Canis lupus familiaris: one gene and its partners. The protein of the gene in region 3 purifies or fractionates together with the protein of the main gene of each other region. This does not show direct contact. Links are inferred from orthologs where the notes say so. Each region holds a gene or a part of one and is shown on either strand. Other genes may lie near its edges. The genes, in order: AMOTL1, POLR2M, WWP2, LDLRAD4, PTPN14, NDFIP2 and GPN3.

Evidence for each region.
Region 1: the proteins of WWP2 (region 3) and AMOTL1 purify together in Homo sapiens (affinity purification with mass spectrometry; 3 studies listed by BioGRID and IntAct, counting the BioPlex papers as one, with this or other methods). This does not show direct contact. The link is inferred for Canis lupus familiaris from reciprocal best matches to the Homo sapiens genes WWP2 and AMOTL1.
Region 2: the proteins of WWP2 (region 3) and POLR2M purify together in Homo sapiens (affinity purification with mass spectrometry, with the first as the bait; 3 studies listed by BioGRID). This does not show direct contact. The link is inferred for Canis lupus familiaris from reciprocal best matches to the Homo sapiens genes WWP2 and POLR2M.
Region 4: the proteins of WWP2 (region 3) and LDLRAD4 purify together in Homo sapiens (affinity purification with mass spectrometry; 3 studies listed by BioGRID and IntAct, counting the BioPlex papers as one, with this or other methods). This does not show direct contact. The link is inferred for Canis lupus familiaris from reciprocal best matches to the Homo sapiens genes WWP2 and LDLRAD4.
Region 5: the proteins of WWP2 (region 3) and PTPN14 purify together in Homo sapiens (affinity purification with mass spectrometry; 3 studies listed by BioGRID). This does not show direct contact. The link is inferred for Canis lupus familiaris from reciprocal best matches to the Homo sapiens genes WWP2 and PTPN14.
Region 6: the proteins of WWP2 (region 3) and NDFIP2 purify together in Homo sapiens (affinity purification with western blotting; 3 studies listed by BioGRID and IntAct, with this or other methods). This does not show direct contact. The link is inferred for Canis lupus familiaris from reciprocal best matches to the Homo sapiens genes WWP2 and NDFIP2.
Region 7: the proteins of WWP2 (region 3) and GPN3 purify together in Homo sapiens (affinity purification with mass spectrometry; 3 studies listed by BioGRID and IntAct, with this or other methods). This does not show direct contact. The link is inferred for Canis lupus familiaris from reciprocal best matches to the Homo sapiens genes WWP2 and GPN3.

The regions. Positions count from the first base shown.
Region 1 is NC_049242.1:6,356,557-6,360,761, forward strand, and holds the start of AMOTL1 (angiomotin-like protein 1), read right to left. Parts: upstream 2,801-4,205; 5' UTR 2,648-2,800; intron 2,200-2,647; 5' UTR 2,108-2,199; intron 1-2,107. UniProt on the Homo sapiens protein: Inhibits the Wnt/beta-catenin signaling pathway, probably by recruiting CTNNB1 to recycling endosomes and hence preventing its translocation to the nucleus.
Region 2 is NC_049251.1:23,186,821-23,190,320, reverse strand, and holds part of POLR2M (protein GRINL1A), read right to left. Parts: coding exon 3,424-3,500; intron 995-3,423; coding exon 784-994; intron 1-783.
Region 3 is NC_049226.1:80,497,101-80,500,600, forward strand, and holds part of WWP2 (NEDD4-like E3 ubiquitin-protein ligase WWP2), read right to left. Parts: intron 1,704-3,500; coding exon 1,556-1,703; intron 1,210-1,555; coding exon 1,088-1,209; intron 1-1,087. UniProt on the Homo sapiens protein: E3 ubiquitin-protein ligase which accepts ubiquitin from an E2 ubiquitin-conjugating enzyme in the form of a thioester and then directly transfers the ubiquitin to targeted substrates.
Region 4 is NC_049222.1:24,835,031-24,838,530, forward strand, and holds part of LDLRAD4 (low-density lipoprotein receptor class A domain-containing protein 4), read right to left. Parts: intron 294-3,500; coding exon 153-293; intron 1-152. UniProt on the Homo sapiens protein: Functions as a negative regulator of TGF-beta signaling and thereby probably plays a role in cell proliferation, differentiation, apoptosis, motility, extracellular matrix production and immunosuppression.
Region 5 is NC_049228.1:12,224,324-12,227,823, forward strand, and holds part of PTPN14 (tyrosine-protein phosphatase non-receptor type 14), read right to left. Parts: intron 3,265-3,500; coding exon 1,787-3,264; intron 1-1,786. UniProt on the Homo sapiens protein: Protein tyrosine phosphatase which may play a role in the regulation of lymphangiogenesis, cell-cell adhesion, cell-matrix adhesion, cell migration, cell growth and also regulates TGF-beta gene expression, thereby modulating epithelial-mesenchymal transition.
Region 6 is NC_049243.1:32,872,612-32,876,111, reverse strand, and holds part of NDFIP2 (NEDD4 family-interacting protein 2), read right to left. Parts: intron 1,720-3,500; coding exon 1,595-1,719; intron 1-1,594. UniProt on the Homo sapiens protein: Activates HECT domain-containing E3 ubiquitin-protein ligases, including ITCH, NEDD4, NEDD4L, SMURF2, WWP1 and WWP2, and consequently modulates the stability of their targets. As a result, may control many cellular processes.
Region 7 is NC_049247.1:8,520,174-8,524,362, forward strand, and holds the start of GPN3 (GPN-loop GTPase 3), read right to left. Parts: upstream 2,801-4,189; 5' UTR 2,241-2,800; coding exon 2,193-2,240; intron 1,924-2,192; exon of another isoform or gene 1,787-1,923; intron 1,167-1,786; coding exon 1,058-1,166; intron 1-1,057. Other genes in the region: protein FAM216A, read left to right, coding at 3,006-3,097. UniProt on the Homo sapiens protein: Small GTPase required for proper localization of RNA polymerase II (RNAPII). May act at an RNAP assembly step prior to nuclear import.

The DNA of each region.
Region 1 (4,205 bases), on a different chromosome or scaffold from region 3:
GCACCAGATATTATTCTGAACATTAAATATGTACAAACTCATAACTGCAATAGCTGGGCTTCCTATTGGTTTCTTTCTCTGGTCAATTTTTCTCTTGGTTTTGACCTTTATGTTATTTTTTCTTGGTCTGTCTGATGACTTCAGAATGAATGCTAGTAATTGTGTGTGGACCAAGAATGGTAGAGATATTTCAAGGTTCTAGATGATATTCTTTTTCTCCGGAGAGGACTTGCTTCTGAAGGCAATTGGGCAATACAAGGAAACAGCAGATGTTGGTAGGATGTGGATAAAAGTGAGAACTTCTTGCACTGGTGGGGACACTATGGAAAACCTTTTTCAGAGGTTTTCAAAAAGTTGAAAATAGAACTACCCTAGGATCCATTAATCACACTATTGGGTATTTAGGGGAGAAGCAGATCAGGTTAATCAATTTGAGATCAAGCTGATTTGAAATGTGCCTCAGTGTATGATGACTGGCATTTCAGGTTCATCTTCACTCCTCGTGTGTTGCTTTTCAGTGTGTTTTTCAGGGTCCTTCCACCCTGATGGGCTCATAATTCCAACTTTTAACTTTCCAAATCAAAGTGATTACTGCAGCTCTGCTCAGTTGCTCAGCTCCCATGCACCATTTCCTGTTCAGATTCTCGGCCTCTTAACTGCTACTCAGAAACCGGCAAATATCTGGAGGGAAAAATTCACTTCCAATGTCAGACCAACTTCTCTTTTTCCTTCTTTTTGGGACTTTGATCATTAAAGTCCTCACTTCTTTGTTCCTATCAAAGTGTATATATACACACACATTATAAGTAATTATAAATACTTTGAAAGTATATAATATATTGTAATACATAATTATATATAATTTTATGTTTATAAAATATGTTAGATATATCATATATAATTCTAAAGTATATATTTACATATTTATGTATCTATACACATATGTACTCTTAAATAGACATACGTATTACACCTTCAATATATGTATGTCTGGTTTTATAGTTCTGCTTTTGTGGTTGTTCTTAACAAAAAGGTTATTCCAATATAGTAGTCAGTCCCTTCTTATCTACAGGGGATGTGTCCTAAGACCCTAGAGGATGGCTAAAACCACAGATAGGGATGCATCCTATATATACTATGTTTTTTCCTATACATACATAACTATGATAAAATTTAATCTATAAATTAGGCGCAAGAGATTGACAACTGATAATAAAATAGAATAATTATAACAATATACTGTAGTAACAGTTATGTGAATGTGGTCCTTCTCAACATATCTTATTTTACTATACTCACCTTTCTTCTGTGATGATGTGAAATGAGAACATGCCTACATGAGGAGATGAAGTGAGATGAATGACATATGCAACTGTGACCTACTGTTAGGCTACTATTGACCTGACAATAGTCAGAGGAGGATTATCTGCTTCTGGACCATGGTTGACTAGGGATAACTGATACCATGGAAAGTGAAACAGTGGATAAGGGGGTAAAACTATACAAGCTGTCTGCCAGAGTTGGAAAATAAAGTACTTATCCTTATTTTATACATGACAAAACTGACAAGAATAACTTGTCAGATTAGTATGTTTAAGTGAAACAGTAAATACTCATCTATTTATTTTATTTTATTTTATTTTATTTTATTTTATTTTACTTTATTAGAGAGAGAAAGCACAAATGAATGGAGAGGGGAAGAGGGAGAGAGATAGAGAATCTGCCTAGCGCAGAGCCCAATGTGGGGCTCAATCTCGCTATCCTGAGATCATGACCTGAGCTGAAATCAAGAGCCTGATGCCTAACTTACGGAGCCACCTAGGTGCCCCATATTTACTTATTTAAAAAAACTTAAACTAACTTACTGAGCCACCTAGGTGCCCCATATTTACTTTTTTTAAAAAAAAGTATCTACTAAGCAGTCACCATGTATTAGACACTCTCCTGGGCACTGGGGATACAAAATTAGTCAGCTAGTCTTTGTCCTTCAAGACCTCAGTATTGAGTATTAAAACATCACTTATAATTCAATGTAGCCAGTGACACTATTGAGTAAGATATAGGTGCACCTGGAGCTCCGGTAAGGTAATAGGATGCTGATCCCTACCTCCTTCCCTGCAGAAATTTCTCTCTTAGTACACAGTGAACATCATCAGGTGGCTCACTTCACTTCTTTATCTCTGGTGCCCAACGCAGTGCCTGCAACAAGGCAGGTGTTCCGTAAATGCCTGCTGGATTGTGTTGAATTAATTTTCAAACAGAAAAGAAGGAAACTAGGATGGGAGGAAGGCCATAAGTTGATGGAAATTTGTTCAGCCTGGAGGTCAGGAGTCTCTGGTCCATCAGTTCCACCAGTAGCTCTCTGTGTGAACATGGCAGGTCACCTGCCCTGTCTGGGCCTATTTTCTCATCTGCAGATTGGACACGCTGGACGAGATAACACCTAAGGTCCCTTCCAAGCATATGTCCCTGTAGTGGAGTATGATCCCACAGAGGCAGAATGACCACAGCTCAACCCAAAGTTCCCTAGGAACCATTTAAGGGCTGCAGTACAGTCTGTCAGACAAAACCAAGGTGGCTGTTTCTATGCCTGTCTCCCTGTTTTCTCCTGTGGAAAAATGTAGGGGGATAGTTTTCCCGAGCTTACCTGGCCAATGCCAGAAGTCTTCTCATACCACACAGGCCAGCCAGAGACAGGAGGGTGAGGAAACACCTCCTACATCCTCTTCCGCCCAGCGTGCTGCGGCCAGCCTACTCTGTCTCCCACTTTTCCAAGCACAGAATCTGTTTTCCTGTTTGAGAAAATAGTTCTGCCTCTGTGGCAAGCACAATGCTTGTCCCAGCTAGAGCACGGGAAGGAAGCCAGTTCCCTGGCCTTGTTTGGCTGAGTGGGGATTCTCTTTGCAGACACCCATCTCCCCATCTCCCTGGGATCTGGACATTCTCACAAAGGCATCCAGAGAAACAAGTGGACACAGATGCACACTTGGCCCCGCACCCCCTAACAGAGCGCCTGCCTCCAAAAGGCTCTGTGGAAGCCTATGTACATTAGTACCAGAGCAACAACGATGGGTGTAGACATCCGGCTGGCTCATCTCCTTTTATGGGTGAAAGGCTGGACCCTGAGAACTGGTGGCCCTGCTGAGGCCACATTATTGATTTTCAGGGGAGGGCACAGAATCTGACGTCACCATCACTGCAAGATGGCCCAGCAGGCCCCCTGGGTGGGCAGCATGGCTTGATCTCACTACTGAATCACACGACCAACCTTCCAGTCTTTGCTCACTGCACGTCCTGCATGCAGCAGAGGCAGCAGTCCCCAGCCCCCTCGACCCCCCGGCCCGGTCCTCACCCCAAACACTGGAGTCAGCTGGAGGAAGCATTTGGGCCCAATTATGTATTTCCAAACAGACAACTCCAGAGGGAGGAGGAGGAGGGAGGAGAGGCAGCCAGGGTTGTTTGTGTGGATTATGCAGTTACTGACCTAAATTTCATACTGGGGGAGGAAAAAAAAAGGAAGAACTGCCTCAGGTGATGCTGACATGTTGGAGGAAGTGCTGAGGAGATGAAATGCCCGCCTGGGGTCTTTGAAAATGTTGTCTGTTTTAATTGGATGTGTCTCATCAGAATCGGCTGGTGGCAGGCCCATCACAGGCTTCTTTTAATCAGTGGCTTTCACATTTCCCCACTGAGGCTTCACGAAGAATAAAGAGCAATGGGGCCAGGGGCCGAGGTGGGGAGGATGGGATTCCAATCTGAAATATGATAATTTAGGAGCACGAGTTTATTTAAAATGGAATTGCCAGGCTCCTTCTGCTTTGTGCCTCTGCGAGAACATTTTGCTAAGGAGAAAGAAACTACTCTTCTTTTGGAGCAAGAGCCTGGAGTGAGCTCCTGGCCTATTTTCTTCTCTCTTTCTAGAATATGCATGTGTGTGTGGGTGTTGTTCTTTTCCAAGGTTTCTTGCAGCAGAATTCACTGCTGCCCAGCCCAGTGGGCAGTGGAGAAAAGAGAAGGATGAGCGCTTGTGGCTGAGGGTGGAGAGGATTTGACGCAGCAGGGGCCAGCCTTTGTCACAGCAAAAGTCAGGCAGGAGTAGAGGGGCCATTGACAGAATTACTGAGATAGCGAAGAAAATTGCCAATCGATCTTTGCTGTGAGATGAGTATGAAAAAGGAAGCTATGAGAACTCAGAGCAGGGTGGT
Region 2 (3,500 bases), on a different chromosome or scaffold from region 3:
TTTTGTCTTGAATAGTGCCTAGTGCCTGATTAAGATCTAGCAAAGCAATGCCAGGAAGTTAGGCTATTTTCCTGGAGGTTCAAACTCTTACTATCTAAGGATATTGGATGCTTTCTATTCTCCCTCCAGTCTGCACAACTATTTCCTCCCATCTCATTACTCTGTGCACAAACTGTCCATATACGTGCTTAGAGTCCTGGGCAGAAGTCCCAGATCTTTGAAGAAAGTGCTGTAAGAAATTAAGTCACCATAGGTAGGCGATTCTTCTGTCTTCACAGGGGCTTACAGATCATGCTTTTAAGTTTACTGTCTGAACATGTTGATAAAACCACAGTATTCTCCCAACATTACGCTCTTCCCTGTCTGGCAAGAGACAGAAACCGGGAAAGTTCTCCCTGATTCTTGGTTAGCTTCTACCACCGAGAACCTCTTGCATGGCGTTTCCAAGGTAGAAGACAGAGAAGCAAGGCTTCTGCTAGCCTGACAGCATGGGCTTTAAGAGACTGGGGAATTTTGCAGTAGTCTCCTCCCCGTATTTTCTGGCAAAAACCACTCAGCTGCTGCACCTAGCTGTGAGCATCTCCAGCTGCATCCTGTGGTTCTAGCAGCTTCAAGACTCTCAGAGAACTAGAGGCTCACATCTGAAAGCTACTGGCATTAGCTGACCATTTCTCAAGCACCTACTCCCTTCTATCGAGTCCTATCCTTTCTGAACTTTCCAGAGTAAATTCTGACTTAGCAGCATCCAACACACAGACAAGAAACATTTAGAGCTCTAAATACCTCATAACTCTGTTTCTGCTGTTTCTGAAGTGCCAAAGATTCTTCTATGGAGAGCAGCTGGGTGGGCATATGGTGAAGTGGTAGAAGGCGAGCTGCTGTGATGTCATCGAGATGCTGCTTATCCCTGAGCCGCCTCTCTTCTGAGGAAAGGGGAGACCCTCTTCTCTGCCAATGGCTAGATGCAGATTCATCATTATGTTGCGAAGGTAATCTGAAGGAGGGGAAATTTGTATCAGCGGACTACTTTCTTTTTACAGACACACATTTACAACATTCCCACACAGAAGTGGCCTTCAACCTTAGCAGTGAATTCTCCTAAAAAGATAATAGTAAGGAGTTTACCAGTATTTATATATGTAGGTAAAAATCCTGTTTCTAAACATACTTCAAAACCAGTATGTAAATTAGCACCTTTTTGGAGAATAATGTGACAATCCACTGTTTCAACAAATAGGTAGACTGGTAAGTTCTTTGCATTTTCCTTCACTCCTCCAACCTTACACTTGAACTGAAGCCGTCTTTCCATCTTTTCATTCAAAAAACATTTGCGAAGGGGTTTGCTGTCCAGTAAAGGGAAAAAAACTTACGGACAGTTTCTGTGCAACACAATACCACCTGGATAATACCATACATAGAGGTGGTATACATACTATACATGTTGGCACAGTGCAACATAAAGTAAACGACCAGTTTTATTGGGAGACGGGGGAGGGGGCTGTCAGAAAAGCTTTAAGAAAGTGAATTTTGAGGAGTCTTGGAATAATAAATGCTCACTGTGTCAATGAGGGGAAAAGGCATCCCAACAGGGAGTGAGGGCCAACATGGTGCTGCACAAAGGGTGTTCAGGGGGTGGGGTGGCCAGGAAAGGCAGCGAGGTAAGGCTGGTAAGTACACCAGGCCCAGTCCTCAGCGAAGAGTTCTGTTCTATATAATAGGTTCAGATTTGCATTGTACAAATTTCACTCTGACAGCAGTGGAGAGGATGGACTGCTGGAGTTAAGACTAGAATCCAAAACATGCCAGTTATAGTCCATGAGAGGGATAAGAGCCTTCGTTTTGACAGGAGGACAAAAATAAGAATGATCAGAGATAAAGGTCAACGAAATATATTATGTAGGTCTTTACAGCTGGCAGATACAGAGATGAGGCAAAAGCAAGACACCTTAGGGAAAAAAACAAAGTGCTGACACTATGAATTTAGGGAATATGGGAGAAAGCATGGGAAGAAGTAAAAGTTCTATGCTATATATAAATCTAAAGTGCCACAAAACACCCACAGGGCCAGGTTTCATTGGTAACTGGCCACGCAAATCTGAAGTTCTATAAAGACCGAAGCTAGAGGGAGATGAGGGGCAGCCACCAGCATCCAGGCGGTACATGGAGCCAGCATGGCATGGAGGAGGCCAAAGGAAGAGCAGAAAAAAAGCCAAAAACTGCTCATTCTTGGAATCCCTCGACAAACACCTAACAGACTCATCCAGGCCCAGCCTTTCCCGATCTGCTCTGACAAGAAGCATCTGGCTCTCCCCACTCTGACTTCCAGCTAAATGACCACACTACCACAATCAGTGTATCCACTGACTACATGATGCTTTAGGTTTTCCAGCTTCCTGGAGGTAAGGAAATGTACCTCCCTGAACACAAGATGAGAGATTACTTAGAAAGAGTACAAAGATTACTTTTTGTTCCTCACTAAAAATTAATGTTCTATAATTCTGGTTTTTATACAGAAGTAAATAAAATGTTTTCAAGTTAAAAAAAATGGCAGGGTTGAACTTGAAAGTTTTTTTGTAATAGTTCTATAGTTCTTTGAAAGTTTTAGGTATTTTTAACTAGAGGTTTTCAGTTTTTCAAAGGCAGGCAGTAGTGATTCCACTTTGTATATGATGTTATACCCTGCTAAAGTCAGACAGGTAGGATACCAGTGGCTACTCCCTGAGGTGAATGTTACATCTGCACACAAGGAAGTAACATCCTTTTTTCTTCAAAGAGCTTCTCTTTTTCTGCAGATCTCAGTAACAAAACTATGGCGAGGAACTCAGAAGCAAGGTTTGCTCCTCCTGCCTCAAATGTTTTTGTGTCTTTAACCCCTTCTCAGCTACCTTCCCCCTCAAGTTGTTATGGTCTAGTTCAAAGTTCTTCCAAGTGTGGAAGCCTTGGGTTTTCATCTAGACCCTGAACTCCTGAGGAGCAGGACCTTTACTTCTGTGTCACCTCAGCACCACCTGCTTACATATAGTCAGCATACTAATATGTTTTGATGACAAGTCCATCAGCTTTTTTCCCCTTAGCTTACAGTCTAATCAAAGGGGGAACTGCATAACAAACAATTGTTGTGGAAAATAGTCACAATAAATTCTCAACTCTGGGTTTAATATCAAATGTTGGCTAAGCATCCTGAAATTTAATACTTCACCTGCTATGTGAAACCTATCCAATTTGGCTAAAAACCTAAAGTATTTTTCAGCATGAATCCTCCACTCCGGCCAGGCTGTTTCCACAATATGCTCTTTCCTAACTATAAGGAGGTCCCACACAAAGTCCACTGAACTGAAAGCATTCCTTCCTTTTTTTTTTTTTTTTTTTTTGGTTTAACAAATAGTACATTTCTGTGACCAGCCTGTTTCTGATAGTACTTACACATTAGTTTTAAATTTATGTGCTGGGGGCACTGGGTTTTTGGCTCGAATTTCTAGCACTTCCATGTAATGAGGCTT
Region 3 (3,500 bases):
ATGATCCTGGGGTCCCAGGATCGAGTCCCACATCAGGCTCCCTGCATGGAGCCTACTTCTCCCTCTGTCTCTGCTTCTCTCTCTGTGTGTGTCTCTCATGAATAAATGAATAAAATCGAAAGAAAGAAAGAAAGAAAGAAAGAAAGAAAGAAAGAAAGAGAGAGAGAGAGAGAGAGAGAGAGAGAGAGAGAAAGAAAGAAAGAAAGAAAGAAAGAAAGAAAGAAAGAAAGAAAGAAAGAAAGAAAGAAAGAAAGAACAGACTCAGAAAGAAAAGACTCTTGAATCAAGGCGGCACTCACCCTGGGACCCAATGCTCCCCACCCCCACACCTCTCAAGTTAAATCCACTTTCAGAAAATATTTTCTAGACAGCAGACATCAAGAGAAAAAGGAGCCTTTCTTTCCGTGGCATTCCCTCACCACATATGGTACTGCTCTCAATAGAGGCTTTATGAGGGAGGGTCCAGATACCACAGCCACGGGTTATGCTACTGACCACAAGCACCATAAAGAGACGTCAGGATTTACATTTCCATGCAGCAGAGGCACCCTGAATAATTAAGACAGAGCTTCCATCACATTCCAATATCCAGTAAACATTTACGGAGTGCCTACTAAGCACAAGGCACTATTTGTAACACCATCCCCCCCTACACACACACACACACACACACACACGACACACACACACACACACACACACAGCTTCTTTCTTCTGCTCGAGGACTCAGACTAGGAATGATTTAGGCTGGAGGCATCGGACAGTGTGATTCCACATGTCACATGCCTCCTGGATTAGGAAAAGAGGAGCAGAGGCAGAGGGACACATCAGAAAGGATCAAGGGGACTTATCACTGCATCCCATCAGTAGGCCGGGGGACAAAGGAGGCTGAATGCCGCAGTGCAGACCTAGAGGAGCTCTTGCCTTCCTAAAAGGGGAACAGTCCCTGTGGCCCCTGTGGCCCCTGGGCCTGGAGGAAACTGCATCACCAGGTCTATCCATGCTGTGTTAGAGAAATCCAAGCCTTCCAATTCTTCTCCCCACCCCCACAAACGAATCGCATCCGCCACCCCTTCATCATACGTACTTTTGCCTCCATTGTTCTTCAGGACATTAGAGAGGTTGACAGAGGCTGTGCCTAGCAGTTCATTTCTCAAAGTATGGCAGCTCCAGACCTTCAAATCTAAATGACTCTGGGCCGTGACATTCCTGGAAAACAGATACTTGATTGATCAAATCCGAGCATACTGGTCTCTCACAACTTAGGAGAAAACAGATAAACCTACTGCTGACATCTTGGAGGGAGGCAGAAGTCTCCAACAGGAAGACACTCACGTGTGTACTCTTTCCCCCACCAAGCTGACCCTGTAACCATCTAGCTAATAATGAATGCTCTGTGAGCTCAATGATGTAAAAACACCTGAAGAGAGGTCCCTTGGGTACCAAAGGCAGAAGAGTTAGGGGCGTCACAGGAAACCTGTATCCCCCGCAACCCTCTTGGAACACCTTCTCTCTTTCCCCCGTGTTACTGCAAAGAGAAAGGACTTTCTCTTACAAGATGATGATCTCATTCCAGAGAAGCTCGGAGCTCCCGATTCGCTTCCCAGTCTTCTTGGTCTCACTGGGGAGTCCATCCACTGCCACCTCCACAAATGAGTTTATTCGAGGTTGACGATTATGCACCTTGGGCTTTGCTGACACCACTGGACAGGAAAGGAAGGAAAAGTCAAAAATGAGTCCCAGGGCTCCCTGTTGCCCCCCTGTGGCAGAGGTTCTCACTCTTTTTTGTTGTTTCTTCTAAAAAATAAGTTTTGGAATTTTTCTGATCCTAAAAAAATTACTTTTTTAAAAATGTGAGGATATCTTAAAAATATGAAGCATAAGAAAAAAAAAGCACTCCACACCTGAAAATACTGGGATAATTATCATTAAGATGTTGGCAAATCCAGACTTTCCAGACTCTCATCTTTTATGCCCCCAATTCTTTAAGAATCTTCTCCTCCCAAAAATAAATTTGAAATGGCTGCAATATGAGCCAATAGGCGTGCCATAATTTAGTTAACTATTCTTTCAGTACTGAATAATTGCTTCCAACTTTTCACTCTGGGAAAATCATCATGAATATATACATTTGCATGCAGTCGTGAGTATTCCTCCCAATGATATGAATGTTCTTTTAAAGTTCTTCAAACTGCTTAATTCCTTTGCAAAAAAAGATAAACCCATGTAGATGCCAATATATCCATTTCACCCCCACCGTGCAGAGTATAACATTTTTTCACTATTTGCAATCAAAGAGGTAAAAAAAGAAATCATACAAATTAAGTAAGATTTAAAGAGCACTTATGACACTAGGCTATGCACGCATTATCTAATGACATCCTTAAAACAAATCCATGAAGCAAGGAATATACCATCACCCTCATTTCATCCAAGAGGAAGCAGGCTTAGGGAAGTTAAGTCATTGCCTCAGGTGACAGAGCTAGGAAGCTTCAAACCAGGATGTGCACCCAGGCTACCCGACTCCACACCACGCTATAGGTCATTATCAGGTTTTGCTTATTCTATTGTCGTTCTTCCATTACTAGTGAATCTGAATATGTTTTCCATGTGCTTGTCAGCCATCTGCATTTCCTGTTCTATTTGTATCCTTCATGTGGCAGCATTTCTGATGTTTATTTGGTACCGGCAAACCGAGCTCACCAAGCATGCACCCAGGGGCAGGTAATCATCTCTTATAGCATGCATTAGCCATGGTAGAAACTCCAGGTCTCTGGGATGGAATACACCTAAGACAGCCTCCAACCCATGCCCCAAATGAGAGCATGTGACTGGCATTTATTACCCATGAAGCAAAACTGAGCAAACCTCTCCCTCCCAGGCCCTTCTGAAAGGTGAGAGTCCTGTAAGGGTTAACAACTTGACAAAGGACAAACCTACCTCTGGATTCTTTTAGCAATACCTGTCTTTTCCCGGCTCAAAAGAACAGTAGAGAGCAAGTCAAAGAACAGTAGCAGCAAAGGTTGTGGCTAAGATTCAAAACCAATAAGGGACGGTACTAGGAGAAACAGGTTGTGGTGGTGCAAAATGTGGTCCAGAGTAGAAAACTGAAATACCTTTCACAGAGACCAAGGTTAACTGAGGCCACCTGGTGGTGTGGGAATAGCTCTGCACACAGACTCTTAAAAAGGGTCGGAGTGTGGGGGCTGACTAGTTATAATTATAGCCCTATCATTTCCATAGACAGTTTCTTTGAAATCAACAAGTTTCTAAGGAGTGCATGTGATGTGATGAGCACTGGGTATTATATAAGACTGATGAATCACTGAACTCTACCTCTGAAACTAATAATAACTATATGTTAATTAATTGAATTTAAATTTAAAAAAAAAAAAAAACAGGGGATCCCTGGGTAGCTCAGTGGTTTGGCGCCTGCCTTTGGCCCAGGGCGCGATCCTGGAGTCCCGGGATCGAGTTCCGCGTTGGGCTCCTGGCATGGA
Region 4 (3,500 bases), on a different chromosome or scaffold from region 3:
AGAAAAAAAAAAAGCATTCCCTCTGTGAAAGCACAAAATCTCTTTTCTTAAGCCAAAATCAACACCCTCTCCATTTCTCTATGACCCCACCTCCTAATTATTTCAAAAAACAATCCAACTTAATGATACCGAGGTAAGTAGGAGGGACTTACAGTTGAAGATGCCAGGAGGTGGGTGCTCAGTCACCAAGAGGCAGTTTTCTTCATCACTGTTGTCCCCACAGTCGTTCTGTTGGTTACAGACCAGTGAACCAAGATACAAGCATTTCCCGCTGGTGCAGGTGAATTTGCACTCTGAAAAAGGACAATAGAGAGCATAAAGTAGGCGATGCAAGCTCCATGCTCTTTGGTTGGTTTCCTTTCCCTTCCCCATTTGCGTGCCATGGTAGTTTGGGAAATGGGTCTGCATGCAGATCCCCCAAAAAAACTGAACTCAGAGAGGGCTATCTATGAAATACGCATGACAGCGTCCAGGGGAGCTCTGGGCCTGCTAGACATCACTCACCCGTGGTCATTGACCCACAAAACGAGTAACATAGGTGCTTTCTTTCCACAACTTGCCCCACAAAGTCAGAGATATGGGGTTCCTATGTTGCTTGAAAACATCTGTGGCAGTTTTCTAAGCCTCCAAGAATGTGGGGAGCCTCAGAAGCAGCAGCTGGGGGTCCAGCAGAACTTGAGATCTCAAGCTTAACAAAAGGAGGCTCACATATTTTATTTCCAACTGTCACTGGATGTCGTGAAACTCGGGGCAAAATATTTAGCCTCTCTGGTATTCATTCATCTCGTGCCTAAGAAACAGCAATTTTAATAGTAGGCGGGGGTAGCACTGATTTTATGATGTAAAACGTAGGAAACACCTGGGGGCTCAGTGGTTGAGTGAGCATCTGTCTTTGGCTCAGGTCATGACCCCGGGGTCCTGGGATCGAGTCCCACATCGGGCTCCCTGCATGGACCCTGCTTCTTCCTCTGCCTGTGTCTCTGCCTCTCTCTGTCTCTCATGAATAAATAAATAAATAAATAACATCTTTAAAAAAAAACATAGGAAAATAATGTGTGTTCTCTGTTACCTGAGAAACATATGTGCCAAGGGCCATGTGAGTAACTTAAAGACTATGATGAAGCCCAGCCCATATCTTTGTAGGCCACACTGAACATGGGATCCCTGAAATCCCTACAAACCAATATATGAAACTGGAATATATACTTTTATAAGACTTTGAAATAAATTTGCAAACTTAACACATTACTGTCAATGTAAACATTTAAGGATAATGGAAATTACACAATCATATACACACGGGCACAGAAATAGCTATGTGCATCTTACATTAAATATCACCTCGCATTCTGACTATGAGCTTTCTCCTAGGAGCACCCACAAAAGCCAGCAGAACTCTTACGCTATGTACGAGTCAGTGGGTAGAAAACAAAACGTCTGGAAAAGCATCCCAGACCCCTGCTCATGTTGACTATCACACCCTCTTCATTTCTCCCCTATTTCGTCTGCCTAGAACATGGGTGGCAGGCATGGATCAAATCCAAGGTCCCTTCAATGCTAAAATTCCATTATTAAAATAAAAGACTGGGCATCAGCACACCGAGGCCTCCTCCAGCTACGCTAACAACAAAGAGGGCTGCAAAGAGAATAACCCCTTTACCTGTTGCAAAGAGACAGAACGTAAATCCTCAAAGTATTTCTGCGACCCCGTATGAAAGAGATACTCGAGTTCCCCCATTTGTTTGCATTTTCCTAAAAGAGCCTAGAAGACGCCAGCCCTCCCCTTGACCTAGTTTAGAACAGCAGGTGAACAAAGCCCAAATGCACGTCCTACAAGTTCTTCACTGGCCACAGTGTCCAGGTTAAAAAAATTTGTGCACTAAATGTGATCCAGGCCACGTGGTAGGAACATTGCTGATGCCAAGTGCTCTTCCCATAAGGTACAAATGTTAAAACCCAGCTGTTTGAAATCACATTTATGAAGGGGCTTTTAACTCAATGGAAAAAAGGGACGTCAAGAAAAATAATTTATTTTTCTTCCCAAAAGAAATATTAGAGTTCGGATTAATACCAAACATGAAAAGGACATTAGCCAAAAACAGGCTGATGATGTTGAAATGGTAATTGGAATAAAGGGAATGTTAACCTAAATTGAATTAAACTCCAACTAAAGAATTAACCATTGCTGTTAGACTTCCACGTTCCAGGTCATGTGGAACCTTAAACTGACAAGAACATGGAACCACACCCACACTTCACTCATGTCAACTTGTTCAAGCGAGGCCCAGTCCAGAGAACAAAATGTTTTCAAGGAAATGAATTATGTGATTCATTCATTTATATCATCAATATTTTGGCCCCTTCTCTGTTATGTGCCAGGTATTAAGACATGGAAACACAGAGATGAAAGAGCAAGTCCTCTTCCAAGGGCTTACAACATGAATTTTTTTTTTAATAATGTGAGAAGTGACCCATAGATTTTCTAACTCTTTCCAAGGACTTATCTTTCTTTATATCCTCCACATCTAGGGTGCTGCCCAGCAAGTAAAAGGCACTCGGTGAATCACATATTATTGATGATATAAATGAATGAATCACATAATTCTCACTTCTTAGATGATACAAACATCAATATCAACCCACAGAATTTCAAACTCAAAAAATCTAAATCTTCTCAATGTTGAGTCACTAGCTAGATATACAACCAAAGGCCTTTCCGTCACATGGCCACTTGAATCAAAACAACTAGATTGAAATTTGGAATCTCTTGACTTCCGGATGTGATATAGAAAATACTAGAAAATTGCTATGATGCTATTAAGTGTTAAAGATTAATGCTAAGGCTGGAATGAAATTGCTAAGTAAAACTTAAAAACTCTAAAGTGACATAACTGGTATCGACAGAGGCAAGCTTTTAAAATGTATTTAAATTCAATTTAATTAACATATAGTATATTGTTCGTTTCAGAGGTGGAACTTAGCGACTCGTCAGCTGCTCATAATAACCAGTGCTCATTCCATCAAGTGAGAGGCAGGGTTTCTTTTTCTTTTTTTTTAATTTATTTTTTATTGGTGTTCAATTTGCCAACATATAGAATAACACCCAGTTCTCATCCCGTCAAGTGCCCCCCTCAGTGCCTGTCACCCAGTCACCCCCATCCCCCGCCAAAGAGGCAGGGTTTCAACTGGATCCTGACTTACAAGGCCGTCTCCACCATACGTTGCTATCCAAAACTCCCGTGTGTACAGACATGAGTAGTCCGCTAATAACCAGTTTCTTTTGATATTTGAAACTAAGAACCCTAGATGCGATGCTCTGACTTTAGCTGTGCATCTTTCAACATTTCTGATGTCTGAGCCCCAGCCCGAAGAGTTGGTCTTGATGGTCCAAGGTGCAGACTGGGCAGTGGTTGTCACTACAGATCCTCAGAATGACCCTGATGAGCAGCCAGGATGAAGGGCCACTGTCTGAGAACATTAAGCCCCCTTTTTCACTAATA
Region 5 (3,500 bases), on a different chromosome or scaffold from region 3:
GCATTCATTACTTTTTCCAGGCTGGGAAAGCTCTCCCCCAGGGCGCCACCCCCGTGTTTCATTCCATCCCCCAGCCAAATGGTTTTATTGGCCAGGGGCACAGGCATATCTTTCACAATTTCCCTCTAGGTTTGCAAAAAGTGGAAAAAGTTATGCCTGTACCAAATTCTTAGCACTACTCTAACTCGTGGCCAAAACTGTGCTGCTGGGAATGCTCTGAAAATTTGTCGAAAGTAGTAATGTTCCTACGGATTAGATTCCTGAACCCAAAAACGTGGCTTTCTTAAAACTTTGGTCTTTAACTGTTTTCCTTAGTTTGATAACCACTGGGGTGCAGGGAGACTTCTAGAGGAAGGGAGCCTAAGAACCTCATCAAAGGAAATTTTAGCTTGCAACTGTTCTGGAGTTCCTAAAGTAAGTGCCAGCTACCCTATGGTAGAAATGTGGTACCTGCAGAGGAGAAGTCAATATGGGTTTGATGACTTGTAATGAAATGATGCTTTTACTTTTTTTTTTTTTTTTAAAGATTTATTTATTTATTCAGAAAGAGAGAGAGGCAGAGACACAGGCAGAGGGAGAAGCAGGCTCCATGCAGGGAGTGCAATGTGGGACTCGATCCCGGGTCTCCAGGATCACACCCCCGGACTGTAGGCGGCGCTAAACCGCTGCACCACGGGGGCTGCCCAATTCTTTTACTTTTTTAAGGAAATTTCTAAAACAAGGAGTAATGGTGATCTGAAATATTCTTTAAAGTAGTAACTACAGGGGTGCCTGGGTGGCTTAGTCATTTAAGTGGCTGACTCTTGGTTTCAGCTCAGGTCATGATCTCAGGGTCATGGGATTGAGCCCCCAGTAAGGTTCCGTGCTGAGTGCAGAGTCTGCTTGAGATTCTCTCCCTCTCCCTTTGGCCCTCTCCTTGCTCACTCATCTCTTTCACTCTCTCTAAAATAAAATAAATAAATAAAATCTTAAAGTAGCAACTACAATCTAGCAATTTTCTCATTACTAGGAGATAATGCACTTTGTTGGTCTGTGTGTGCACCTGTTACCTATACACTCTTGCTGTTACAATATACCTGGTTCTCCAGCTGGTACGTATCCTGAGTAAGAGTTATTTATGTCTAATATCAGGCATCTCCAAATGCTTTACGTGTGTGTCTATGTACGCGTATGTTCACATGCATGTGTGTGAATACCGAGAGAATGAGCTTAACGGGGAACTGAAGCTCAGTGATGAACTTGTGAGTTTACGGTAGTGTTTTTGGTTTGTGTTAAGCATCTACTGAAAGAAAATCTGAAAATAAAGCTGAACACGTCATGGTCCAGTCATTACTGGTGAGCCATCTCTGACATAGAGCTCTCTACACAGAGCTGCGCTCTGAAGGGATGTTGCTCTTTTACTACCTAATTGAGGGAAAAAAATGCTTCTCCCTAAAAGAACCAACAAGAAATGTAGGAAGGAGAGCTCCCAGTAGCTCACACAACAGGACGTCTGACCCTGAATAAAGAGCACAATGCTGGCCCAAACAACCTGCAGCATCCTGACTCCACTGTGGTGCCTTGCGCCAAGCACAGCAATTAAAAGGCCCAAATGAAAATGGAAGATTTGACTGAAAGGGGAAAAACGAAAGTTTTGTGAAATAAAATACTGCCCGTTGAAATGCCAACTGATGCTCTAATTCCCTAACACATTCCCTGGATCAGCCTCGCACTGCCTTCGGTCCTGGTGCTTTTACACCCTGTGTCATGGGGACGCCGACACTGCCCCGGAGCAGAGGACACTTACCCTGAGGGCCATCTCTCTCTCTACGATGCTGTCTTCCAGGGAGAACATCTCAGACACGGGTCTCTCCTTCACAGGCTCTTTTTTGACCCGCTCCTTTACGCTTGTCAGGTCGGGTTCAGAGATGGACGGGCCCAGGGAAGGCCCAGCCACTGCCAGCTGGTCAGCGCGGGAGACGCTGATGGCCTTGGCTGGCCCGTGTCTCAGGACCCTGGCCCTGGCCATGGCAGGAGGCAGGCTGACCTGGTCTTGCCGTAGCGCCCCATTGCTAACACTTTTCCTTGGGCCAGGGTACTCGGGTGGGGGTTTGTTTGGGATTCGGGCCAAGGCCGCCTGCAGCTGGGCACTGTACCCCATCTTCTCCCGGAGCACAGGGATCTGGGGCACCGATCCCGGGACCTCCTCCTCCTCCTCCTCACTCTCACTGCTGTGGATCAGCATGGTGGCATCGGAGAAAGTCTTCTTGTGGTGGTAATGGGGAAGCTGGTGGGCCTCGTGGCTCCCTGGCACCTCCTCGGGTGGCCCCTGCTCCCGGAGCGTGTTTCGGCGGGCCATGGGGATATTGAGTGACTTCAAGGTCATGGCTTCCATGCCCCGCACCATGCTGCTCATCACCTCCAGGCTGTGGCGCTTATTCACTGCGCCGTGGTGCTTGGTGGCCGTGAGGGGCTCGCTCACCTCCTGGAGAGACTGGTGCACCACCGGGGAGCTGTCCTCCTGGAAGGTCTTCACGGACAGCTGCACTTTGCGGGTCACCAGGTCGGGGCTACTGCCGCTGACGTACTTGTGGCGGTGGCTGGCGAGGTCTGGGGTGCTGGTGGCAGGGCGCGGCCGTGGGTAAGGGGGTGGCGGCCTGAAGAGATAGTTTTTGAGCATATGAGCCGTGTTGTAGTTCTGGGTGCCTTGGAGCTGCATGTTGGCCAACTCTGGCGTGCTCACCGTGTGGGAGATGGCACTTGCCCCCGGCTTGCTCGGCACCGAGTTATTCTTTGGGTTTATTTGGTCAGATGGACTGACAAGTTTGTGACCATAGCCTCCCTGTGGCCCATAAGGGACAGTGTAGGGGTGCCTCTCCCGCATCTCGGGCTGGCTGTACACCAGATCCTCCGGCTGGTTGTAGGCATGCGTATTGATGATGTTGAGGTTTCGCAGAGACTGGCTCTGGCTGTCGGCGTGCAGGACCCCCCTCTTCATCTGCCGCATGACTGTCTCATAATCGGGGGTAGGCCGGTAAGATGGCACGATGATGGCGCTGTGCCGGTGGCTAGGGATGTAGTCAGCCCGCATGATGTCACTCCCTGGGATACTGAGATTGGAGGACACAGGAGAAGCCTGGATGAAACTCTGGGAGCAGCTGAGGGAGTTGACGCTGTGAACACTACACACGCTGCCATTGGTGACGGTGCCATTTAAATAATTTAAATCCAGACTGTTGTGAGAGTTGTAATACAAGGCTTCTTCATTCCCGTGGAAAATGCTGTCTATAAGAAGTCAAACAAAGGCACGTGAGCCTCCACATCATCCTGCTCCAATTAAGTTCATCCTCACACTCATGCGCATGATTTTTAGAAGTCATTAAAAGTGAAATTCTGTGGTCTCCACCCACATATTCCATGAAAAAACTAGTAACTCTTGGGTGAGAGGCCAACATACAGAAGGAACACTTTAAAGCATACTAAAAAGAAAAAGGGAATCTAATCAAAGAACGGTATGTACA
Region 6 (3,500 bases), on a different chromosome or scaffold from region 3:
ATAATAACCATTGGACACAATTAACTTCAACTATTTTGAGGTTTTTCTAGTAATAACTTTTTTCAGGGCAGGGATTGTGCTTTATCTTTGTATGCTAACATCTTAACACATTTATGCTCATGGTGGGAATCCACTTCACATTTTTTTAAATGAAATTAGAAAAAGAATCCGCCAGGGGGCTGTTCTTACACTGGCTCAGGTTTTAATCATCTCAGAAGAAGCCAAGTCATGTCGCACCCAAGAATCAACTGATTAATAACCAAAATCTATAATTTGGTCTGAACAGAGATGAATGAGGTCTGATAAAATTACTGAAACTCTGGGAAGCCATAACTTCAAAAATAATGAAGAAACACATTAAGTCCAATATTAATTTTTTAAATCAATTTGCTGATGTAGGTACATAACTGAAGTGTCTGAAGCACTTAAGAGAAGCTGACATTAAGTATGTGATTCTACTGAATATTTTAGGAGGATGTGACTCACTCATTTAGAAATCAATGTTTAAATAAATATGTTTGTAGAAATTAAGCATTTTATCAATTGTATAGTAGCATGTAAATATGTGGGTTACTTTTAAGAAAATTCATTAAAAAAATAAATAAAATCACTCTTTTTTTTCTTTAAGGTAAGCCCAATGCAGGGCTTGAACTCATGACCCTGAGGATCAAGATGTGAATTGAACTGAGATCAAGAGTTGGATGCTTAACTTACTGAGCCATTCAGTGCCCCCAAACCATTCTTGATCATTCTCCTAGGTCTAACATAAAGAAATTAGGGAAAAGGCTTTGTAACAGGAACCAAAGGATCTAAAAGGGGCCTCCAAGAGGCAAAGGTAAAGAGTGGGGGAAGACTATGCAAACAGGGCTACTGCCACTGGAATGGTTACAGAAAATTATTTTGGGACAAACTGTTGATATGGGATAAAGACTTAGCATTATCTCCCTACACACCATGTGGTAAGTGCTAAGAAGTAGATAAAGGGTGAATTCCAGGAACAACAGGGAAATAAGAAAGGTGGAAAGGGAACATAACAGAAAATGGGTGAGTTCAGATAGACACCTCACAGGTCTTAGTTTTTTGAGCTCTCAAAAAAGAAAGAGTGAGAAGATGAAATTAAGTCCTTGAGAATTTTACTAACCAACAGAAAATGTTATGTTTTACCTGATTTTAGGCATGTGTGCACTGTATCACAGCAGATGCAGCCACAGCTTACCAAGCACCTGTATTTGTGCAGCAACTAGGCAAGTGCTTTAATTATATTACTGCTAGGCCTCACAGAAATCCTGAAAGGCAGCTAATACCAGCTTATTGGGAAGAAATTCTCAGAACAATTTAAAAATTTAAAGTTAGGACACTGATATAAGTAAGATTCAAACTCAAATTTTTTTCTGATTTCAAAGCTCTTTCCATAGTAAGCTCTCATATAATAAAGCATCAAAATGTTAACACAGAGATCACTACAATAAGTATAAAAGATAAGCCTCAAAATAATTGATTCATATATGTAAAAGGAATATTTATGAACCACACAAGAAATTTCATAGATTTTAATTTTAGAGATCAAAGTGATAGAGGCTATTAAGACACTCACCCTAACAATAAGGATCCATTTGATCAATGAAAGTCCAAATCCACAGATGGCACCATACCTTCCAGCTATGGTATTGGTGATACAGAAGGATAAACAAAATCCAAGCCAGTTGAAAATAAATGCCACTAAAAGCAAGAGAAATAGTTCTTTTAAGGACCACACTTTGGAAACAAATTAACAGAGACATAATATTAACAATACTTCATTGCACAATGGAAGTAAGAATTCCCTTTCTTTTGACTTTGTACCAATTAAATCTTCTTTATAGGCCGTAGTTTACCTTTTGCAAATATATTGGTTATTAATTACACATTAACAAACAGATAAGCTTGGTTTCTTGTTAGTCTGGTCAACAGGAATCAATTCCTTAAAACTTATCAATAGGTAAAACTGCATTTTTAAACCAGCTAAAAATCAAGTCATAATGTAGCTCAGCTCCCATGTGATCCCACCCAAGAATTCCAGCCTAAGCAATCAACTAACTAAACTGGATTTTTTAAAAAGCAATATTAAAGATAAGCCAAACAAATTATAAAATGTTTCCAGAGGAGGTACTGTTCATTGCCTCTTCCTATCTAACAAAACCTACTTTTACCCCTTTTCTGGAACCCACCCACCAACAGAGTCTTTATTTTAAGGAAGGCTAGATCATATACTTAACCCCAAAAGAGAGGGGTCCTGAGTAGTCTGGGAAAATCACAGGAGCCCCTGCCACTTTTTTTTTTTTTTTTAATAGGACTTTGAAATGCATTCTTTGGTTCTTAAAAACACATCAAGGAGACAGAGGATGGAATATAGGTTAAATAACAGTGGCTCTAAATTGATCATTGTTGAAGTTGAGTGATAAATACATACAGGTTATACTCCTGCCTAGTTTGAGAATTTCTACAATAAATGTTAAAAAGAAAAAAAAAATCCCCCTTATCCACTGGATTTCTAATTTGAATATAACACCTGGAAATGCTGCAGGGATTTTGCCCTCAGCCAGAGGATTAAAGTATAACTCCACATGGGCTAGAGAGTGTGAAGAGAAAGAAAAGCAGAGCCACAGAACTAATACTTGCTGTGGCTGAGTCTGCTTGTCTATCCCCTTGTCTATGGATTTTCTGTTTTGTGAGATAACCACCTATTTAAAACAGCTGAGTAAGGGTTTTCTATAACTTGTAGCAGAAACCATTCCGACACAGGTCCTTGAGATATCATCAGAATGCGCTATCTGTGTGTGTCTAAGATAATAATAGAAATGATAATAAAAGTGAAAATCAATTTGAGCAGGACTTTGGTCCTGTTCAGTGCCCATCCTCTTATCCTCAATATCTCTAACTAACCCTCAGGGAAAACATAGAGAAATGCTGATTTTTCAGGATTCTGAAGACAAAGAGGAAACATTTTAGAATAAATTTAAATAAAATAGCTATTTATTCAAAGCAATTTTCCTACTCCTATAATTTCTTCCTTCCTAATGCCTTCTAGGCACAGCTTTCTTGATCATTTATAGTAAGCTATATTATATGATACAATAGGAGAATGCATTTTGAAATTAAGAGACTTGTGTTTGAATCACAATGTGACATGTATCACTCACTAGATACATGACCTGGGACTCACTGCTTACTTCTGTGAGCCAGTTCTCTGATCTGTACGATCTACTTCACAAGGCTGATAAGAGGATTAAGTGAGATAATGAATTTAAAGGGCTTAGCACAGTAAAGAACCTGGCACAGTGATTGCTAAGAAATGTTAACCATTATTAGTACCCATATTTTTTATACAGTAGGTTATATCTTTTCCGGAAAAAAAAAAAAAAAACACAAAAAAAATCAGGAGATGCTACTGGAAATAAAACTTGCTTACACTCAATTTTCTTTTTTCTTATACTAGATGCTGATTTTGCTATCTTCTACCT
Region 7 (4,189 bases), on a different chromosome or scaffold from region 3:
TTCTCATTGACTACTTGGAGTCATTATCACAATCTTTAATGTTTATCATTTTGCTTATCTCCTCACTAAAAGGTCCATGAATGAAAGGATAATGTCTGCCTTGTTCTCTGCTAGAACCTTGGCATCTGGCATAAAGTAAGTGTTCAAAAGACATCTGAATGAATAAATTGAAAGAATTTTACTTTAGGGGCACCTGTGTGGCTCAGTCAGTTAAGTGTCCAACTCTTGATTTTGGCTCAGGTTATGTATGACCTCACCATTCTGAGACCAAGCCCCATGTTGGGCTCCACACTGGGCATGGAGGGCATGGAGCCTGCTTAAGATTCTCTCTCTCAGGCAGCCCTGGTGGCTCAGCGGTTTAGCGTCGCCTACAGCTCGGGGCATGATCCTGGAGACCTGGGATCGAGTCCCATGTCAGGCTCCCTGCATGGAGCCTGCTTTTCCCTCTGCCTGTGTCTCTGCCTCTCTCTCTCTCTCTCTCTCTCCTCTCTGTGTATTCTCATGAATAAATAAATATAATCTTAAAAAAAAAAAAAGATTTTCCCTCTAAAGAAACATAAATTTAAAAAAATTCTTTTTAAATTTTTTTCCCAAGAGAGAGGGTAGGAGGCGCCTCTAAAAGAATTAAAAACAAACAAACAGTTAAGCTGCTCGCTAATACTATGACCTGCAGTAAACCCGATTCACCACAGCAGGCTAAGCATGGAAGGACAGAAGGGGGGATGCCTGGGTGGCTCGGTGGTTGAGCGTCTGCCTTAGGCTCAGGGGGTGATCCCAGGGTCCTGGGATGGAGGACCTTTGTCTCTGCCTCTCATGAATGAATAAATAAAATATTTTACAAAAGTGGGGAAAAAAAGGACAGAAAAGAGGTATGAGGGAAGATACTCAATTCTTAAACTAAGACGAAGAAAGGATAATGTCACACATTTCATCATGAAGCAGGGGAGCAGACTATAATAATTAAGTTTTCACCTTCTGTACCAAGCAGCCAGCACTCATGGCCTCTCCACCCCCTCATTTTTCCTGAAGGAGGGGGAAGGCTCTGTTCAGGACTCACCAGCCATCACGGAGTAGTTGAAGTGTTCTGCTGCAGGATCTAGGTTCACAACTTGGACAGACCGATTGAGGGCTTCACAGTGTTGGACCATAGTGGCACAGTAGGTGCTCTGTAATGTCACAAGGCATCATGGGGTCAAAGCAATAGGCAGTGTAGTGCTACCCCTGCACCCCCAAAATGGATACCCTATATCCCTTGGTCGGTGTCCACTGAGGCCAAAATTATGCCTTCATTGATCAAAAAGCCGACTGAAAACAGGTACTAGGCTGGCAGTCAGGACATCTGACTGGGCTGTAGATCCAGACCTGGCTGAGACTCAAGAGTAACTTTAGTGAAAGCGCTTCTCTACTTTTCTCTTCTTTTTTCTAGAGACTTTATTTTTAAGGAATCTCTACACCCAACATGGGGCTCAAACATAAAAAAAGAAAGTATTAAAGATACACAGGTGTCAAACTGACAATTTCACTTCAATGCAAACTGAAAGAATTGAAAAGGGAGTAATTTTCTCAATTTATGATCTCTAGAATTTACTGACCTCAATCAAGACTCACATTCCACCAAATGAATCAGCCAGGAGCCTTACCCCTGGTTTTCTCTACACCCAACATGGGGCTCAATCAATATACGATCCAATGTTCACTAATGTTAGGCCATGTACCTCCTAAAATCGCCTCAAAGACCAGAAGTCCATGTTTCAAGCTCTGAGAAACTGACTTAATGAGACCTCACCTGAACTTTCTATGAGCGAGACAGGAGCGGATTCTGGGATTACACACAACTGGATTCAAATTCCAGCCGCGTGATCTTGGGAAAAGAACTTAACCTTTCCGTGTCTCATTTTCTGTAAAATTCCCATCCGTAAAAATGAGAACAAGACCTATCCTACAACGTTGTTCTGGAAATAAGTTAGGAGTTTAAACGCAGTATCTGGGGCATAAGTATACTCTAAGCATTAGCCACCACTGTTATTTTCCCCACTTTCAAAATCGCAACAAAGAGCGACGAAGCCCAGACTGCAGCAGCGCTCTGCCGAAGGGTCCGCGTGCACGCACCCGCCGGTCCCTCCGTCAGGACCACAGCCCCCCTGCCTCCCACGAGCTCCGACTTTTCTCCTGTTCTAACGCCAAAGCCTCACCTTCCCGCTTCCTGCCGGGCCCATGACCAGCTGCGCGTACCGAGGCATGCCGGCGCTCCTGGGGCCGGGCTGGGCCCGCCACGCCTCACGGAGCCCGACCGGCCCGCTCCCTTCAGCCTTCGCGCGGCGCTCACTGACTTCCGGGAACACCACGTGACCACCAATAGCAACCCACAGTCCTTTTGCGCCCTGCGTTGTTACATCCCTGGCTACGGAGCGTCCCGCAGATCAAATCTCGTGTGAAACCCGTTCTCGGGAAACTTCGGCGTGGGCGGGGCGGACCGGGCAGCGGTTAGAGTGTGCGCGGAGGTAGTGGCGGAAATCGGCGGTTGGGACGCTGGAGAAGCTTGGTTGCCTTGGAGATAACGGCTAACGGCTCGCACTCCGCATCCCTGCGCCGCGGACTTCGGTCCTCGGTTCGCGTACGAACGTCTCACCTATCTGGCGACACCCAACGTTTGCAAAGCTGTTAGAGGGCCGGGAATCCTGAGGTGGAAGGCACCTCCTGTTTTAGAGGGCGTGTATGTTTCCTTCCCGTGGAAGAGGACTCATCCCCTCCACAAAACGTGCAAGCGCGCAACCCTCTAGAGAGTTCCTGCCCCTCCCCTCTCTAATTCCAGCGTCTGGTCTCTGCCCTCCCCGCTCTCCCGAAGCCGTTCGGGCAGTGCCCGGAGCGCCTCGGCGGGGGCTAGAATCCGGCGTCCGCGGGTGCACCCCCAATAGCGCCCGGCCTGACGCACGCGTGCTGCCGGGGGAGGGGAGAGGGGGAGGCTGCTTCCGCACACCGCTCGAGGTCCGGGCGCCGGGGCGGAGATGCCCGGCCAGTGTCCGGTGCCCGACTGGACGGCATGCGGCTCTTCCGCGGACCCAACCGCAGTGGCCGGGACCGAGGGTGGCGGCGGCGGGTGAGGCTGAGGGGCCCTGAGGGGTGAGGGAGGACGCCGACCGGCCCAGGTCGTGGTCCCCGGCGGAGGAGGGGGTGGGAGCCGGCTGCTCCCGTGGCCTGACCCCCCAGTGCGCTGAACTGAGAGGAAGGGGGAAGCTCTGTTGTGGCCGGGGTGGCACACATGGAAGCCGCCTCGCTGTTTACGGGAAGGGCCTGTGAGGTAAGGCCGAGCGTTGGTGCAATGACTAAACGCCGGGACTGCGACAGTTGCCTGCGTGCGTCTTTCTGCCCCGAGGGGGCGCTGCGAAACCTGCTGGAAAATGCCGTCTGGCCACAGGATCTCTACAGAAAGAGGGGGTTGGGGGGCACGGCAGAAACAGGTTCGAACGAGGCTTTCCAAGTCAATAAACCAGTTCTGTGGGTGTCACGTTGGCCACTTTTATGTCCAGGGGATTCATAATGACGATGAGACAGATAATTATGAATATTACGGGTACGTTGATCTTGATGTTTTCTTCCCACTGAAGTTTTTCTTCATAAATCCATTTTATTTTGAGAAGGCTCTTTTAGTATAGTTCCTGGATGCTGAAGACAATTAGTCTTCAGTACCTTCTCATCCCTTCCATCAGTTATTACCTGAAAGAGCTTCAGGGTGTACCTTTCCAAAAGCACACAGTCATGGCTCCTGCTGCACCCATGACCATTTATTTATATGTGTGTGTGTATATACACACACACACACACACACACCACACACTCATACATATGGAATGTGTATATACATAAATGTATACATATATACATCATGTATATGAAATATATATAGGGAATGAAACATATATATAGTGTTTGAAGGCTTCTTAAAAATGATTTATTTGTCTTAGAGAGAGTGGGTGCGTGCAGAGGGGAGGGGCAAAGGGAGAGGGAGAATCCTCAAGCAGACTCCTCAAGTCTGAGTGTGGAGCCCCAAGCAGGACCACCGAGATCAGGACCTGAGCCCAAATCAAGGATCACCCACTAACCATCTGAGCCACCCAGGCACCCATCAAAGACTTAAAAGACTCTTGTCTTTGCTGTTCATTACAGTGCTTGACAAAGTGCTGGATCCTAG